Nothobranchius furzeri: one gene and its partner. The protein of the gene in region 1 interacts with the protein of each later gene in a pairwise test. Links are inferred from orthologs where the notes say so. Each region holds a gene or a part of one and is shown in the gene's direction. Other genes may lie near its edges.

Region 1 (8,973 bases):
TAGCAGCTCCGCCCTCTTGGTCTGCCAGGCAACAGCATTTGTTGCATTTTTCAAACATGAAGTGGGAGTGGAGTTAGACTCTGGTAGGGGGTGACTTGCTCTTTAAATGTTATTCATGTGAGGCGTCTTGTAATTTTTATCTCGAGAGGCGCAGTCTCCAAATTAATCAAGTTAGGTCAGTGGGCCACAGGAAAAAAACATGTTTCGTTCAAAATACAAATGGAAATGTATATATTTCGTGTTTTTATATTTGTACCACTCACAAGTAGGCCTCATTAGTAAAAATCTGAACACAAACGTCTTTTAAATCAAGTGTTTGTAATAATTGGTAACAAGCCTCATCTCTGTGGAGTTTGACCTGTTTAAGGTCAAAGGTCAGACATTCTTCTGGAGTTTCTGGAAGAGAGCAGGGCTGTTTCTCAGTACTCAAGGACGCCGTTACGTTCTTGTGTGAGTATGTTCTTGGCCAGGACACCAGAAAGTCCGTTCTACCGAGTATGGGAGGATGAGAATGACATTTGGACCAGAACTGGCCTCTGTTGCTTTATGGCAACAAGGGTTGCTTGTTGCTACCGTTAGACAAATGACCTGCCATAAAAATAAAAGTCTAGTTTGTTCCTTAAATAACAAAAGAACAGTGAAAACATATTGTTTGTATTATATTTGGTCCACTTTTGATTAAAACTGATAAAATACCACTTCCCGCTGTTAAATGAATAAAAGTTTATTTTTCATCAAATCAGAGCTACGCTGCTTTTATTTTGTTAGTGGGTTAGCTAATTAGTATTTGAGGTATTGTGGAGAGTAAAATTCAAACACACAGCACATTTTACAGGTTACACACACTTATTTACAATAACAAACCACTTAATGTTCCTTTATTAGTATTTCTGACATAAATCTACAGACACCAGCTTTCTCCTGACGTTCAGAGTACAACGGTTTGTGACACAATGCATTGTGGGACACATTGCTGTCCCGAGTTTGCAGAAGAATGCATTGATGCAATACAATGGGCAGAGCAAGAACACATCTGGGAACTTTGAGTGAACTTGCCATGATGCGTACTTAGGATTGGAACAGTACTTGGGCCAACGTTGATGACGTTTCACAAGGATGTGAGTGCACAGAAACGGCCCAGGATTCATGGTTCCATCAGTCGCAGGAAGTGGTTCAGGTCGTAAAGCAGCTCCAGATCATCACACTCCCACTGCCATGTTTGACAAATGGTTTGATGTCCTTTGACCTTAACCATACCCAAGTGAGGCCTACAGTGCTTTAGATGTTCTGAGTTATTTTGTTCCTGCATTTCTTTAGATTGGGGAATGATGTGTTGCCTTTTGAGATCTTTTAGCCTAGTTTATGAGATTTTATTGAAGTGATTTCTAAAAGACTGGCAGTAATCAGGTCAGGGTGTTGCTCATAAAACAGAACTAACATTTCTAAATAATACTAGAGAGACTCGTGTGTTTTCACATGGGACCAAAATGTATTAAATAATCATTTGTAAAACGTGTTTTGGTTATTTTCAGTTAATATTTATTTGCAGACCTGAAACATTGAAGCAAAAACTGTTTATATGTTCAAAGCATGTTTATTTATTTTTGCATTCCCAGATGTTTCCTCCCATGTCGGTGCTGTGAAGATGGAAAGCGTGATCCCGGTGTGTCTGGACCCACAAGCTCCAGAATCAGCACGGCCTCCCCACAGAGAAGGCACGTCCACCTTAGAACAAATGATCATCAAACAGGAGAAGTCCGAGGAGGAACCGAATGGTGCACCTTACTGCTTTGACCTGATTAAAGAGGAGGATTTAGGTCTGGAAGGAATAAAGTGGCCACCAGAAGTCCTGGATGTGGAGAGTATTGAGCCAAATGCCCAGATGTTCAGCAACAAGCTGGATCAGGGTAAGAAAATAAATTACAATAATTTTTTTTATTGTTTGGCATCTTATGTTACAATGTTATTTACAAGAAAGCAGAAGTTAGTTTACTTAGTTAGATTTTTGCAAGACTCATCAACTGTGTTTTTATGAGGATTTCTGCAGTTTAAAGTCTTTGGAATTTTTCAGCAGCTCCTCCAAATTTGATCACCGCCCTCCCACCGCCACCAGACCTCCAGTCCAGCTCCTCAGAGTTTCCAAGCATCTTTCATCTAGCAGAACCAGCCGCAGAATCCCTAGCTCCTCCACACGTAGTCGGAGTCCATGTTCAAAATGGCCGGAGCGGTGCTGCCATTCACACTTGTAAGTTCTGCAGTCAAACCTTCCACCTGCCCAGTCACCTGCGGCGCCACTACGGCCAGTGCCGCCAGAGGCTCCAGCAGCGCTGTCCGCAGCCCGTAGCAGGAAGCACCAGGACTCGGCTGCAGCTCTACCCACCAGGCTGCAGTCCCTTCCGATGCACAGTGTGCAATCGAGAGTTCAACCGTCAGGAGAATCTAAAGACCCACCTTCGGATCCACACGGGGGAGAGACCTTACACATGCTCTGTCTGCTCCAAGTGTTTCCGCCACTCTGGAGCATTAACCCGACACTTCCGCATCCACACGGGAGAGATGCCTTATGTCTGCGGACAGTGTGGGAAGTGTTTCAGAAACTGTGGTGGGCTCAAATTCCACCAGCGTTCTCATAACAAGCATTTATCATAGTCCTTGTTTAATATATTAAAGAGGTTCTTCACTGAGAAACAATTTTTTACTTATTATTTTTGAAAATGAACAGTCACTGAGTTTCCATGCAGGCTGAATGTGAAAATGGTGTCCTACGCATATCTCCTGCATTATCTTTTGGTAGAAAAAACAGTCTGCTGATGTTCGGGGTGGGGGGTTAGTGTTCCGCTGAGGTCTGTGACATCATCGGGGTGGGGGTTACTGGACGACAGGAGGAACGGTTCTCTACTAGGACTTGGCTCTCATCGTTCTCTTTGAAAGCACGTTCAAAAGACTCCACTTGTTCGTGAACGTCACATCACTAACTTAACTAATTTATTAATGAAACAATGTTTTGGTATTTATTAAGTGTGTAAATGGATGATTTTGAATCAATTTAGAATTGCAGTTGTGGGTTTGTTTTCTGAAGTGATAATTGTTGCCCAGTATTCATGAAGGCTCAAAATAAAAATTTAATCTTTGCTGCGCCTTTGCCCTTCATTCAACGTGCTATTTGTTTGTTTGATTTATTTGAAATAAAGTCACTAAATAAGCAGATTTTTTCTTGCCAAACAAGATTTCTGTCAAATTTGTTTTACTTAGAGGATGTATTTAATCATGACATCACTGAGTGGAATGCTGCACATTGATGTGGAAGGAAATTGCAAAAAGAGAACATTTCAGGTCACTTGATTTAGAAGGAAACATAATATAACAAAAAAAGTCAGCTTTCACTTCAGAAAATGAAAAAGCACATGGTTGCATTCAAGTGTTTAAAGATGCCTTTAATAAATAAGATGTTTGTGTGACCTAATAAAAGATTGTATTGTTTCAAGCACCTGGCCACAGGTTCAAATCTCCTTTTTAATCTGTCAGCAACTGTGTGATAGATACATCTGAAATGTATTCTGCCTTATTTTACAGATTGTTCATGTTATCAACTTTTCTTCAACTTCCTCGAGGTTGTTAATAAAGCATTCGATTTTTTAAATTGTTTTTACGTTTTTGATCAACACAATACGCTTCATTAATATTACATGATCTAAAACAATTGGATCAGTTTTTGTTTTGTGCGGCAATCGATAAACCTGGTCTGGGATCGACTGAACCACAGCTTTGAACGGCTTCGTCTTTATCTGCCATCAGCTAGTTGTCCTGGATTTGAGTAGGAAGTGAGCGTCCCCAAGAGCACAGAGCTAACAAAGATTAGCTTGATCCAAAAAACAAAACAAACAGCTGCTTTGTCCCGTGGTTTTCTCTACGGGTACCTGTTTTTTCCTCACCGGAGCTGCTCGAAACGCTTCGTGAACTGCTGACAGAAAGTCCGCAGTCATGTTGTCCGAGCGGGTTGAGTTTGGAGGCTCTTCCTTCCTCCGGTCTCATGATGTCGGAGGGACTCGCTAGTTTTGCCTGAGCTCCTCTCAGCACCTCCGCTGCTGCTAACTCAACTTTGCTGTTGTTGGACGTTTCCTCCTCAGAGTAAGTTATCTCCCTCACCCAGTGGATAAGTTATTTTTGGATCAAATGTTCTTTAATTTACCGCGATAACGCTTAGCAGAGTTTATTGTTTAAATTAGTTTATTCAGTTTGACGTTTCTCAGGCCAAAACTGCGACTAGCAGGAGTGACGAGGAATTCCTTCTGACTGTTCATTACATCAGGACTGATCACCTCAGTTTAAACATGTATGTTGGGAGCCAGCTCTAATAATTCGGTCATCTAAATAAGTTTTGTTAAACCAATAAAGACTGTCATAAAGGTCATGGCTCTTAGATATTCACAGTACACTTGGATTTATATTGGTCTGAACACAAGTTATTTTGTGTAGTATGTCTTGCTTTACCTTTTGTTTGAACCTTGAAAATTGCCTCATTTTGAATGCAAATAATACAAAATTAACTGTAAAGCAAGATAATATGTAGAACTCATCTTTTACATCCTTTTGTGCTGCCACGTGGGTCTCTACTGCTTATATAAACTCTAAAATTGTCTATCTGTTTTCTGACAGTGGAATTTTAAGAATTATGAGCCTAGAATTACTCAAAGAAAAATAACTTAAAAATGCATTCAGAAGAAAAACAGAGAAATATACAAAATGTCTAAAATGACTCGCTTGAAAAAGTTACCATTTGTGATGTCACAAACAGGGAAATTAGAAAACCACCTCATGTATAATAGAGAGCTGCTGCAGAAGGAGCAGAGTACATTTTTTCTTCTTTTTTGGCTACACTTGACATTATTCTGTTTTCAACCCTTTATTGGTAAACAGTTTTAAAAGTAAGGACTAATATGTTTTTTTTTATTTTTTATACTTTCTTTGTTCATTTAGCCAGTGTGAAGCCATGTGAAGTGAGTAGAGTAGATCAACTTAAATGCTGCTTCGAAATGACCAAATTCGAAGATGTTAGAGACACAAAATATTTTGCTGGAAATAATCAATAAAATATAAAAACTTGAAATCTGGTTCAGCTGGCTAAATACATTACTGCACACTGGGATTTGAACCCATGTCAGCACATGGCAAAACTGCGTGGGCGGAGTTTCACTGAAACAAAGCGTTTTATTTCCAGGTATAAATTCACGCTGACAAAAATAACTTGTATTTAAGATAAATGACACCTCAGTAGTGCCAACAGTAATATTTTATTATATACTGTGCCTAACTTTTGCTTTCAAATATTTAAAAAGCATGATCTGGAACCTTTAATTCTTCCAAGTAAACATGAATTCTGTTGGAACATTACATGTTTCACCAATGATTAATGTTTGACACATTCTATATTGTCTATAAATTGAGCTGAATGGAAGATCAGGTCTGCAACATAATTAAATCTTCCTCACTCTGTCCAGAGATGGCGACTCAAAACACTGGAACGTTTCAAGACTCCCTGCAGAGTTCAGAGGAACGCGGGGAGCTGGTGCACTCGTTATCTAAGGAGACTCCTGGATCTCCAGATGCCTCTGAGTTGGGGAGCCCCCGCTGTACTCTGAACTTTGACCTCCTGAACATGGTGACATCCTACAAGAGAATGGCTCTGTATCTAGAACCCATTGTAGACGCAGTAGAGGTCATTCACCTGTTACTCGGGTGTGTATGGGTGTGTGTAAACACATTATCATATGGTTGTTTTGACCATTAGTAGTAAATGTCAGAATTCAATCTATCTTACGTTTTGTCAAACAGATGGAAGATGCCACTGTGCTCTCTGCTCGTTTGTATATTCCTCAACATCTTCTTTTGCACAATTACTGAAGGTAGGGTGATTCATTTAGCATAGATATTAAACCAGTGGTATTGTGATGTCACCAAATATTTTTTATTGATCCATTAAGTCGTTGTATCTGCCTCTGGTATCAGTTGGTTGGTTCACAGGGAGTGTGGTGGTTGTATCGGCGCCGGCTGCCCTGGGTTACCTGCAGGACAGGTGTGGGGGCAAAGCCTCTGAAGCGGATCTCCAGAAGAGGCGTTACCACGCTGTGCATCGCAAAGACCTGCAGACGGTTCACCTCACCAAACAGGAGGCCATGCTGGAAGTCAAAGACCTGTAAGATGCATGCTGCAGCTAATTATTTTAGCTCAAGTGTGTGTCCTGTTCTGCTTTCTCTCTCTTTTTTTAAAACAAATATTTACAGCAATTAGCAGCTATTATATTATCCTGGGTATCTTAAGGCTATGGATGTGGTAGGACTGTCGTGGTTGACGCGTCTCTGCAACATTGCGTGGTCATCGGGGGCAGTTCCTGTGGAGTGGCAGACCGGGGTGGTGGTCCCCATCTTTAAGAATGGTGACCGGGGGGTGTGTTTGAACTATGGGGGGTTCACACTCCTCAGCCTCCCTGGAAAGGTCTACTCCAAGGTACTGGAGAGGAGGGTCCGATCGATAGTTGAATCTCAGATTGAGGAGGAGCAATGTGGTTTTCGTCCTGGCCGTGGAACTGTGGACCAGCTCTATACCCTTGCAAGGGTGATGGAGGGGGCATCGCATAGCCGGTAGTAAGTCGGACCTGTTCCCGGTGAGGGTTGGACTCCGCCAGGGCTGCCCTTTGTCACCGGTTCTGTTCATTACCTTTATGGACAGAATTTCTAGGTGCAGCCGTGGTGTGGAGTGTGTCGAGTTTGGTGGCAGGAGAATCTCGTCTCTGCTTTTTGCGGATGATGTGGTCCTCCTAGCTTCATCCAGCTCTGACCTTCAGCTCTTGCTGGGTAGGTTCGTGGCCGAGTGTGAAGTGGCTGGGACGAGGATCAGTACCTCCAAATCTGAGACTATGGTTCTCGACCGGAAGAGGGTTGCTTGCCAACTCCGGGTCGGGGGAGAGGTCCTACCTCAAGTAGAGGAGTTTAAATATCTCGGGGTCTTGTTCACGAGTGAGGGTAGGAGGGATCGGCAGATCGACAGGCGGATTGGTTTGGCGTCTGCAGTGATGCGGACGCTGAGCCGATCTGTCGTGGTGAAGAGGGAGCTGAGCCAGAAAGCCAGGCTCTCGATTTACCGGTCGATCTACGTCCCAATCCTCACCTATGGTCATGAGCTTTGGGTAATGACCGAAAGAACGAGATCGCGGATACAAGCGGCCGAAATGAGTTTCCTCCGTAGGGTGGCCGGGCTCAGCCTTATGGGCCATTCCCATCTGTACCGGGTCGGCCCGGGCCGGGTAGCCCCAGTCGGCCCCAGCCTGGCCCGGTTGGTTCCACACATCCTTGCCTTAAGCCCATGTGGGCTGATTCTACCCACCAATCAGAGGCTTGCTCTAATGGAAGGTGTGAATTTGCTGTCAGCAGTGGGTGTGTTGGCCCTGGTCGGCCTGAAGCAGACCCCCTCGAGAAGAGGGCTGAGAATGAGCCTTGGTTGGCCCGGAAAAATACCAGGCCACCCAGATATGTAAACAACCTACGCTACCCGGCCCGGGCCGACCCGGTACAGATGGGAATGGCCCATTAGAGATAGGGTGAGGAGCTCGGACATTCGGGAGGGACTCGGAGTAGAACCGCTGCTCCTCCAGATTGAAAGGAGTCACTTGAGGTGGTTTGGGCATCTGGTCAGGATGCCTCCTGGACGCCTCCCTGGGGAGGTGTTTCAGGCATGTCCTGCCGGCAGGAGGTCCCTGGGTCGACCCAGGACACGTTGGAGAGGTTACATCTCCAATCTGGTCCGGGAACGCCTTGGGGTCCTGCCGGAGGAGCTGGTGGACAAGGCCGGGGAGAGGACGGTCTGGAGCTCCCTAGTTGGGATGCTGCCCCCGCGACCCGGACCCGGATAAGCGGAGGAAGACTATTATATTATATTATATTATATTATATTATATTATATTATATTATATTATATTATATTATATTATATCCAGTCAAATGGACTTTGTGAATTTGTGCATTCTCCTGGTTTAATTTCCTCAGTAAATACAGTAAATATGGCCTATGAAAATCACATTTGTTGGTGGAAATGTATCAGGCATTGTTGATATTTCATTTATTTGTTTTTACTGAATGTGTGTGTGATTGTGTGTTTCCAACAGGTTGAAGCACCTGGATGACATGTTGTCCTCTGCTTGCCAATCAGCGGAAGCCATTTACAAGGTTTTATACTGGGATAGTCACACCAGTTCTTCAAGGTCTGTATGCACACACACACACACACACACACACACACACACACACACACACACACACACACACACACACAGAAACAAATGTGTGTGTTATTATCTTTTTATGAAATTATTGTTGAAGTGTCAAATGTGAGGTAAATTTGCATTATTTCTGTTAAATTCCTCGTCGTGAATGCCGCGGCTAAACCACGATCCTCATTTTTGTCCTGCAGGTTTTATGGAGCGACGCTAACAGTGGTGTGTCTGCTTTATGTTGTTCCTGTGGGCTGGGTGCTTGCTGGGCTCAACACCGTCGTCTTCCTGTGGAACCGAGACTTCTGCAGAGGTTAGCTCCTTTAAACAAAAGAAACACTCATTTCTAGTAATATTATTGCAATGTTTTATTTGCTGTTTTCACTCTGATTTCCCAGTTCTTCTGGACCTTCGGAAGCTCTTTTACTTTGGTCCGACTCAGACCTCAGAGGGGCTGCCTGAAGACCAGGCTCAGGGCAGCCTGATGGACAGGACGCCAACCCCCCCTAGTCTAGAGGTGAGAGAAATGAGCAAGTGAATGTGATTGTTGGTACTTGAACATTCAGCTGTTGTGGTTTACATTAAACCCCTCCACAGATGTAAGCTTCTTACCCAGTTATCCCAAATCTCATGGCCTTTACATGGTTTAACCGCACAGATGGAACCACTTCCCTCGTTAAGTTTGCGTTCCCCCGTGCGAGGGACGGACA
Region 2 (7,207 bases), on another chromosome or scaffold:
CCCCTATCGGTTTTGATCGGACTTTTCAAAATAGATCAAAGCAGACCGCTCAGGTAGGGTTGTCACGGTAACCAGTGTAAACCCCGGTAGAAAAAGTTGACAATAATAATAACCGTCTTGTTTTAAAAAAAACTATATTATCTCGGTGGGTTACCGTGGCTGCGGTGTAGGCGCGGTGACCCTTACCAGCCACCGTATCATCTGCTGAAGTTGCAGGACCGGCGGCACATGCGCACTTTGTTGTTTACGACCAAAACTTTCTTGAAGCTAAAGCTGAAATAATGGCCTAAGGAGGAGACGGCAGCGCTCAGGAGGACATTTATTATCCCCCAAAGAAGACAAAGTCGGAAGTACGGGCATTTTTGGATATTTGAATGCCGAAGGAGTTTATAGAAGATGGACGGCTATCCTGTTTGCAGTACGTGCAGAAAAATTGTCTGTGAAAGGCAGCAACGCTTCAAATGTCATGACACATCTGCGTGACCATCACCCTCAACGCAAGGCAAGCTAACGTTAGCATTTTAGCTAAAATGCGTGATCCGAGGATTTGGGGTTGAGGGAGAACGCAACGAGTCGCTATATAAAGCAGCCGCAGCGCCGCTACCTGCATATAAACCGTGTCGCGGACACCCCCATGTTGAAACGACGCTATGCATTACGGGGCTCCCAGGGGCAGATAAGAGTTGGTCTCTCTCCGAGAATAATTATGAATTTAACAACGATTACTGCCTGATGACATTTTCCCACATCTGCAAAGCTCACTGGAAGGACACAAACCGAGGACAATAATTTCCTGATATACGGATTACTCAAGTAAGGGTAAAAAAGTATCTGATTAGAAGGCTACTTGAGTACTGCGTATCATCTGATCTAATATTTTTAAAATGATGACATCAAACAGACATAAAATAAGAAGTTATGGGCAAATATTGGTATTTTAAAGACTAAAGGGAAAAAATGTAAACAAATAAACAACATAATTACAAAATAACACATTTTAGGCTAAATTTAGACACAAACTGAAGACAATATTTCCTGACATACAGGGTTTATTGCATTGTGTGAAAATGTAGCACGTTTAAAAAAAATACCGCGATAATACCGAAAACCGTGGTAATTTTGGTCACAATAACCGTGAGGTTAAATTTTCACACTGTGACAACCCTAATACAGACCATTTTAGATTAGGTTGCATTTCCTTTATTCCCAGATTATGTAGTTTGTAGCACTCATTATAATGTTGTAGAAAATTTTTGGCCAATCCACGTGATCGGTATCGGTGATCGGTATCGGTGATCAGCATTCTTTGATATCGGTATCGGTGATCGGCAGCAAAAAACCTGATCGGTGCATCCCTACTTTCCCACTGTTGTGGCAGAAATCGAGACTCATCAAACCAGGCAACAATTTCTCAATCTTCTATTGTCCAGCTTTGGTGAGCCTGAGTGAATTGGAGCCTCGGGTTCCTGTTCTTAGCTGACAGGAGTGGCTCCTGGTGTGGTCTTCAGCTGCTGTAGTCCATCTGCCTCAAGGTTCAATGTGTTGCGCGTTCAGAGATGCTCTTCTGCATACCGTGGTTGTAAGGAGTGGTTGTTTGAGTTACGGTTGCCTTTCTATCAGCTCAAACCAGTCAGGCTTTTCTCCTCTGACCTCTGTCATCAACAAGGTATTTTCGCCCACAGAACTGCAGCTCAATGGATGTTTTCCCTTTTACAGACCATTCTCTGTAAACCCTAGAGATGGTTGTGTGTGACAATCCCAGAAGATCAGCAGTTTCTGAAATACTCAGACCAGCCCGTCTGGCACCAACAACCATGCTGTGTTCAAAGTAACTTAAATCCCCTTTCTTCCACAGTCTGAAGTTGGAACTGCGGCGGATTGTCTTGACCATGTCAACATGCCTTAATGCACTGAGTTGCCACCGTGTGATTGGCTGATTAGTAATTTGCATTAAGGAACAGTTGGACAGGTGTACCCAATAGTGTGATGTGACTAGCGAGTGTACATTGTTTAGTCTTGCTGAACAGATTGTCCCATTCTGACCAGTAGGTGGGGCCATTGGGTAAAGATGAATTCATTTGCAGCAAGTTCTGCTGATTCATCATTTCAGAGGATCTGTTTTCATGCTGCTGCTGTAAATAGGTCTGCCCTGCACCCTAGTCGTATCTAATGCCTAGTCACTGTTTCTGTTCAGATGAGTATATATGGTGCTTTGGCTATACAAGGTCACTCGCTGGAGCATGTTCCACTGTATGGGCTTATTGGATCAGCTGCAGCAGCCTGGTACTTATGCCCAGTACTCCCTACTTCAGTCCTACACCAATCTGTCAAACAGCACACAACCTGTTCACCGCTTTTCAGCCATCGCATGCAGTGTAGTATCATGTGCTACTTTATAAGACCATTTGTAATGATGTCTGATAAATGAAGTGCTTAATTTATTAACCAGTACATTTCTAGTTGTGGTTTTGATCTAAAGATTTGGAAGAGAATAGCTGCAGGAAAAAGTTCTTCAACTTGGAGCAGAAAATAAAATCCAACATCCCCTTTTTTTAGATTACAGATTATCTGGTTTGAGTCGAAGGGGAAGCTGACACTTCTCATCATCCCTTCTCATTGGCTAACTTCCTGTGTTGCTATCAAAGTCTTGAGCCATTTCAAAGACATATTGGCCAATTTATAGTTTGTGTCTTTGTTATAGTAGTGTATTTTGCCTGAGATACCGGCCTTACAGGTTAATGATGAATTACTGACATCTTAAATCAGCGCCACCTTCAAAATTTAATATTGATTAATGAAAATTAGGTTATTTTATATGTCTGCTTTGCATTAAATAATTATGTGAGCAGCACTAATAGGATATATTGTTCAAACTTGTCCCTTGGAGACACCAGAGGTGCTGTCTTAAGGCTGCTGCGGATAATTATGTTTATATAGAGTTACAGAAGTCTACGTAAACAACATGAGAAATGGTGGTGTAAAAGGTTTTTTTAAGTAATGCTGCATGAATTGCTGTGAAATTTGGAAGATTAATTTTATTTGAAGTTATTTGCAGCAGGTAAGATAGTAATTTCTAATAACTTAAGGTATGACACTTTTTATTAATTCCTGTACAAAGTTTGGGGTTGAGTTTAAAGCGCTGCTCTATGGTGCCTTAAAATAAATGTGTGTGTTTTTGTTCCAATAAAGATGCTCTTTTTCTAACCAATTAGCTTGGCTTTGACAGACACAGAAAATGACAAGATGACACATTATATCTCTCTCCTCCAAGCAGGGGCTGATACCTCTGTCTTCAGCTCAAATGAGCCAGAAAAGATTTATTTATCTGGCTTGTTTAACTTTTTTCTTAAACGACATGCAGACTTGACATTTCCAGTTTAAACTGCCTTTGACTTTCTCTGCAGAGTAAGACAAACGAGTTCTGGTAGGATCGTGATGCTAAATGTTTGTTTCTCCTCTCCCCCTATAGGTTGTAATGTTTTTGTCTTTCTGTCTTGTTGCTTCCACAGAAACACTCTTGTAAAGGTAAATGCACCACTTTGGTGCATATTAACATCAGGGCGAAGACTCCACTGCTCACAGATGCATGTTAGTAGATTTTACTCCAAACGTCACTTTAGTTTCAGGTGACTGTTTCTGTTGAACTTTGAGCAACGGTCCTCAGTCCTACCGAAGTGCTCTTAGCAAGTTTAAACATTTTATCTGTTATAATATTGATTTGCTTAGTCACTCACCCGCTTTAAGAGCAGCGAAGTGACTCACAGCTGAGTCTGTGCTGGAACAATAATTGAGCCCAGATCCTGGAATCATTGTGTGGACATGTGGGCTAAACAGCACGCTGATTTTGTGGTCCAAGCCTGTGATTTCTCGGAAGATGGCAAAGAGTGGAATCAAGAATTTTCCGGTATATAAACATTTTAGATTTTCTGATGCAGCTTCTCTGAACCCCAATCATTAATTTATTCATCTAGCAAATGCCATGACTTTGTGTTTTGCAGACCACTTGTGTCTGTTACTGTAAAGAGCGTTCTGACTTGTTATTGGTCTGTCTGTTGCAAAGCTGCACGACGCAGTCTCCTGCAGATCAGGATAACAGCACTGATAGACACAGGGCTTTTATGGTTATTTCCTGCATCCTTTCTCTTGTTTCATGCACAGACAATTCACGCTGAGCTCTCCAAGCTGGTGAAGAAGCACTCAGAGCAGCGGGGAGCAGAACAGGCCATGTATAAGAAGATGCTGGGCAACCCTTCTAGTAGCAGCGTACGGAAACATCAGGCCAAGTCTTCATGGGTGAGAGAGTAATCATCTCAGAAACTCCATGTGTTAAAATGTTTGTTCCAAAGTGAGGCTTTGAAAAACAGCGTATAATTTGTGCCAATGTTATTAACCTGCTCAACATGCTGCTTTTTGTCCTCTGCAGGGTCTCAGCTGGAAGTGGCTTTTTGGTGCCACAGCTGTAGCCCTTGGTGGCGTAGCTCTATCTGTTGTCATAGCTGCCAGGAATTGAAATGAGCCTGATCAAATGCAGCAAAAGAGCCAAAAACACTGAAACACGTCTGACTACACCTTCTGACTGTTGGTCAATGGTGGAAATGTGAGATGGTCGATTACCTCTTCGCTGTCTCCGTCTTTTCTCTACTATGTTTGAGAAGTTACAAGTAATAAGTTGTAATAATAGTGTATAGAGAAACATATTTCCAGTCTTGTAAATGTGTAGGTCTGTGCACATACATGTCGCCAGACTTTATTTTCATTTGTTCCGATTATTTTTGTCTCTGGCAAGCAAAGTTGGAAATTGATTGTTCCAGGAATCGGAAGTGATTCAAACAAAAGTAATGTAAATTATATTTAACATAAATGATTCACTAGTTTTAGTATGTCTCCAAAAGCATTTGATTTTGTTTATAAAATAATATTTATTACCCAAGAGATGGAATTTTAATTCATGGAACATGTTTCTCATTTACATGCTTTCTACTATAAGATCCACAGGCGGACAGAATATCACACACACACACCACACACACACACACACACACACACACACACTGACCCTTATGATACCCATAAGGATTTCTACTCATTTTAATCATCCATAAACTACACCATTAAAGTCACAGAACCATAGCAATGCAATGCAACAATCCAACATTTACTGCCTTAAAGTTTCAGCTTTTCTCCACACCAGACGATTGGGATGGTATTACACTCAACAGGTTTTGTAAAAACGTGTCTAACATTAGCTGCATGAAAGAGAATAAACAAATCTCCTCACACATCAACTATAGTTTTATTTGCTAACAGAATTAAATCAACACTTCTTTGATACATTCAGTGCAGGCAAACCTACAGCTGTGGAGTTTAAACACATTTAATTAGCCACATATACATAATAAATACAGACACTGTTGGGTTATTTAGGACTGGGAAAGGTGTCTGATTTCATTAAATTGTACTTTTAATATTTGTGTTAAAAGACCAAATGTTCAGAAGACCCTATGTTTGCATGGGAAGTTGTTCTAAAGTTGTTCTGCATTTCTTTTTCTCATTCCAAAAAATAAATGTGACTGTACCAAATGTGTGGCTTCCTCAGGCTAGATGATAGAGCATTAGAGCCAAAAGTTGTGTAATCTATAATTATTTGAGCAAAGTTCCTGACATTCTACTGCACTCTGCCTCCTGACATGGGTCAAATGTCTCATACCTGTAGAAATTATTCACATAACTCACTGATCATAACTGCACTACTGTATAATTCTATGTAAATGACCATTCTGTACAATTGCTAAAGCACTTCTGGATGGATGCAAACTGCATTTTGTTGCCTTGTACCTGTGACATGTGCAATGACTTCCATCCATCCATTGTCTGAACCTGCTTGTCCACTTAGGATCGCGGGGGGGGGGGGGGGGGGGGGGGGGGGCTGGTGCCTATCTCCAGCGGTCAATGGGCAATCAGGCGGGGTACACCCTGGACAGAGAGCCAGTCCATCGCAGGGCAACACAGAGACACACAGGACAAACAATCACACACTCACACCTAAGGACAATTTAGACAGACCAATTAACCTAACAGTCATGTTTTTGGACTGTGGGAGGAAGTCGGAGTACCCGGAGAGAACCCACGCATGCACAGGGAGAACATGCAAACTCCATGCAGAAAGATCCCAGGCCGGGAAGCGAACCCAGGACCTTCTTGCTGCAAGGCAACAGCTCTAACCACTGCACAGCCCATGTGCAATGACAATAAAGTTGAATTCTATTCTATTTGTTCATTTTGATGTATCTCAAATAAATGTCCTATCAAACTACTATCATTTGTCATTTACACTCATTTTACAAACAAATTAAATATGTTTTTGTCTGGTTAACCATGATTTGCTGCATTTATGCCTTTAAAAATATGAGTACATTAAGTCATGTTTGTTCTTGCAAAAGGATCAGCGACTGAAATTTCAAACTGGTCACTGGGTAATTTGCTTTACTCTGTTTACACAGACCTTCCAAAGTTGTCTAGATATCTGCTGCGTGTAAACACTTTGTTTTTGTTTTCTCTGTTTACAGGGTTGGATGTTTTACTGTAAAACTGTTGGCCTTTTTCCTCTTCCTTTTTATCAATAATTAGCTATTTCTGAATTCATGAAGGAGCTCATTGCCCTTTTAGTGTGCAGCATACACAATAATAGGCACTTCATAAATGGAAGAGTAAATATTTATTTCACTACCTGACAAAATCAATATTGGCAACACAACTAATAACAGTAGATTTACTTGTACATTTGAATGCTAAGATTAATATATCTAGCAGATCTCTGTACATTAAGCAAACTACTAATGGAGTCAGTGAGGTTCCTCAAGGATTGGTCCCTAAATCACCTCAGAGTCAAATACCAATTTGTATTGATACTCTGATGTACTTTTGCATCCATGTCTTATCGGGCTCTGATTCTACTGCAACAATATTATATTAATACTGAATGCACTTTGCTTATTGCAAACTTCTTTTCGATGCTAAAAAGACATGCTTTTGTTATCCAAAGTTTCTGAGGCAGATTTTTTAATACTGAATTTAGATTCTTTGTCTTTTAATTGAACCCATTGCAGCAGGTGGGTAAAAATGATCAAATTTAGTTTCTTCACTAAATTTAAATATTGTCATTCGTTTGAGACCTAAAATATTTCACATCTTCTGTTTTTATTCTTAC

What was found.
Region 2: the proteins of zfyve27 (region 1) and fkbp8 interact in binary tests that used the Homo sapiens proteins (3 or more experiments, as listed by UniProt). The link is inferred for Nothobranchius furzeri from reciprocal best matches to the Homo sapiens genes ZFYVE27 and FKBP8.

Annotation. Positions count from the first base shown.
Region 1 is NC_091746.1:82,341,366-82,350,338, forward strand, and holds the start of zfyve27 (protrudin), read left to right. Parts: upstream 1-3,899; 5' UTR 3,900-4,128; intron 4,129-5,498; 5' UTR 5,499-5,500; coding exon 5,501-5,736; intron 5,737-5,832; coding exon 5,833-5,903; intron 5,904-6,006; coding exon 6,007-6,193; intron 6,194-8,158; coding exon 8,159-8,254; intron 8,255-8,463; coding exon 8,464-8,576; intron 8,577-8,661; coding exon 8,662-8,780; intron 8,781-8,973. Other genes in the region: si:ch211-284e13.5 (neurotrophin receptor-interacting factor homolog), read left to right, coding at 1,617-1,907, 2,072-2,649. UniProt on the Homo sapiens protein: Key regulator of RAB11-dependent vesicular trafficking during neurite extension through polarized membrane transport. Promotes axonal elongation and contributes to the establishment of neuronal cell polarity.
Region 2 is NC_091748.1:52,419,552-52,426,758, reverse strand, and holds the end of fkbp8 (peptidyl-prolyl cis-trans isomerase FKBP8), read left to right. Parts: intron 1-3,509; coding exon of another isoform or gene 3,510-3,593; exon of another isoform or gene 3,594-3,754; intron 3,755-4,158; coding exon 4,159-4,293; intron 4,294-4,423; coding exon 4,424-4,510; 3' UTR 4,511-4,779; downstream 4,780-7,207. UniProt on the Homo sapiens protein: Constitutively inactive PPiase, which becomes active when bound to calmodulin and calcium. Seems to act as a chaperone for BCL2, targets it to the mitochondria and modulates its phosphorylation state.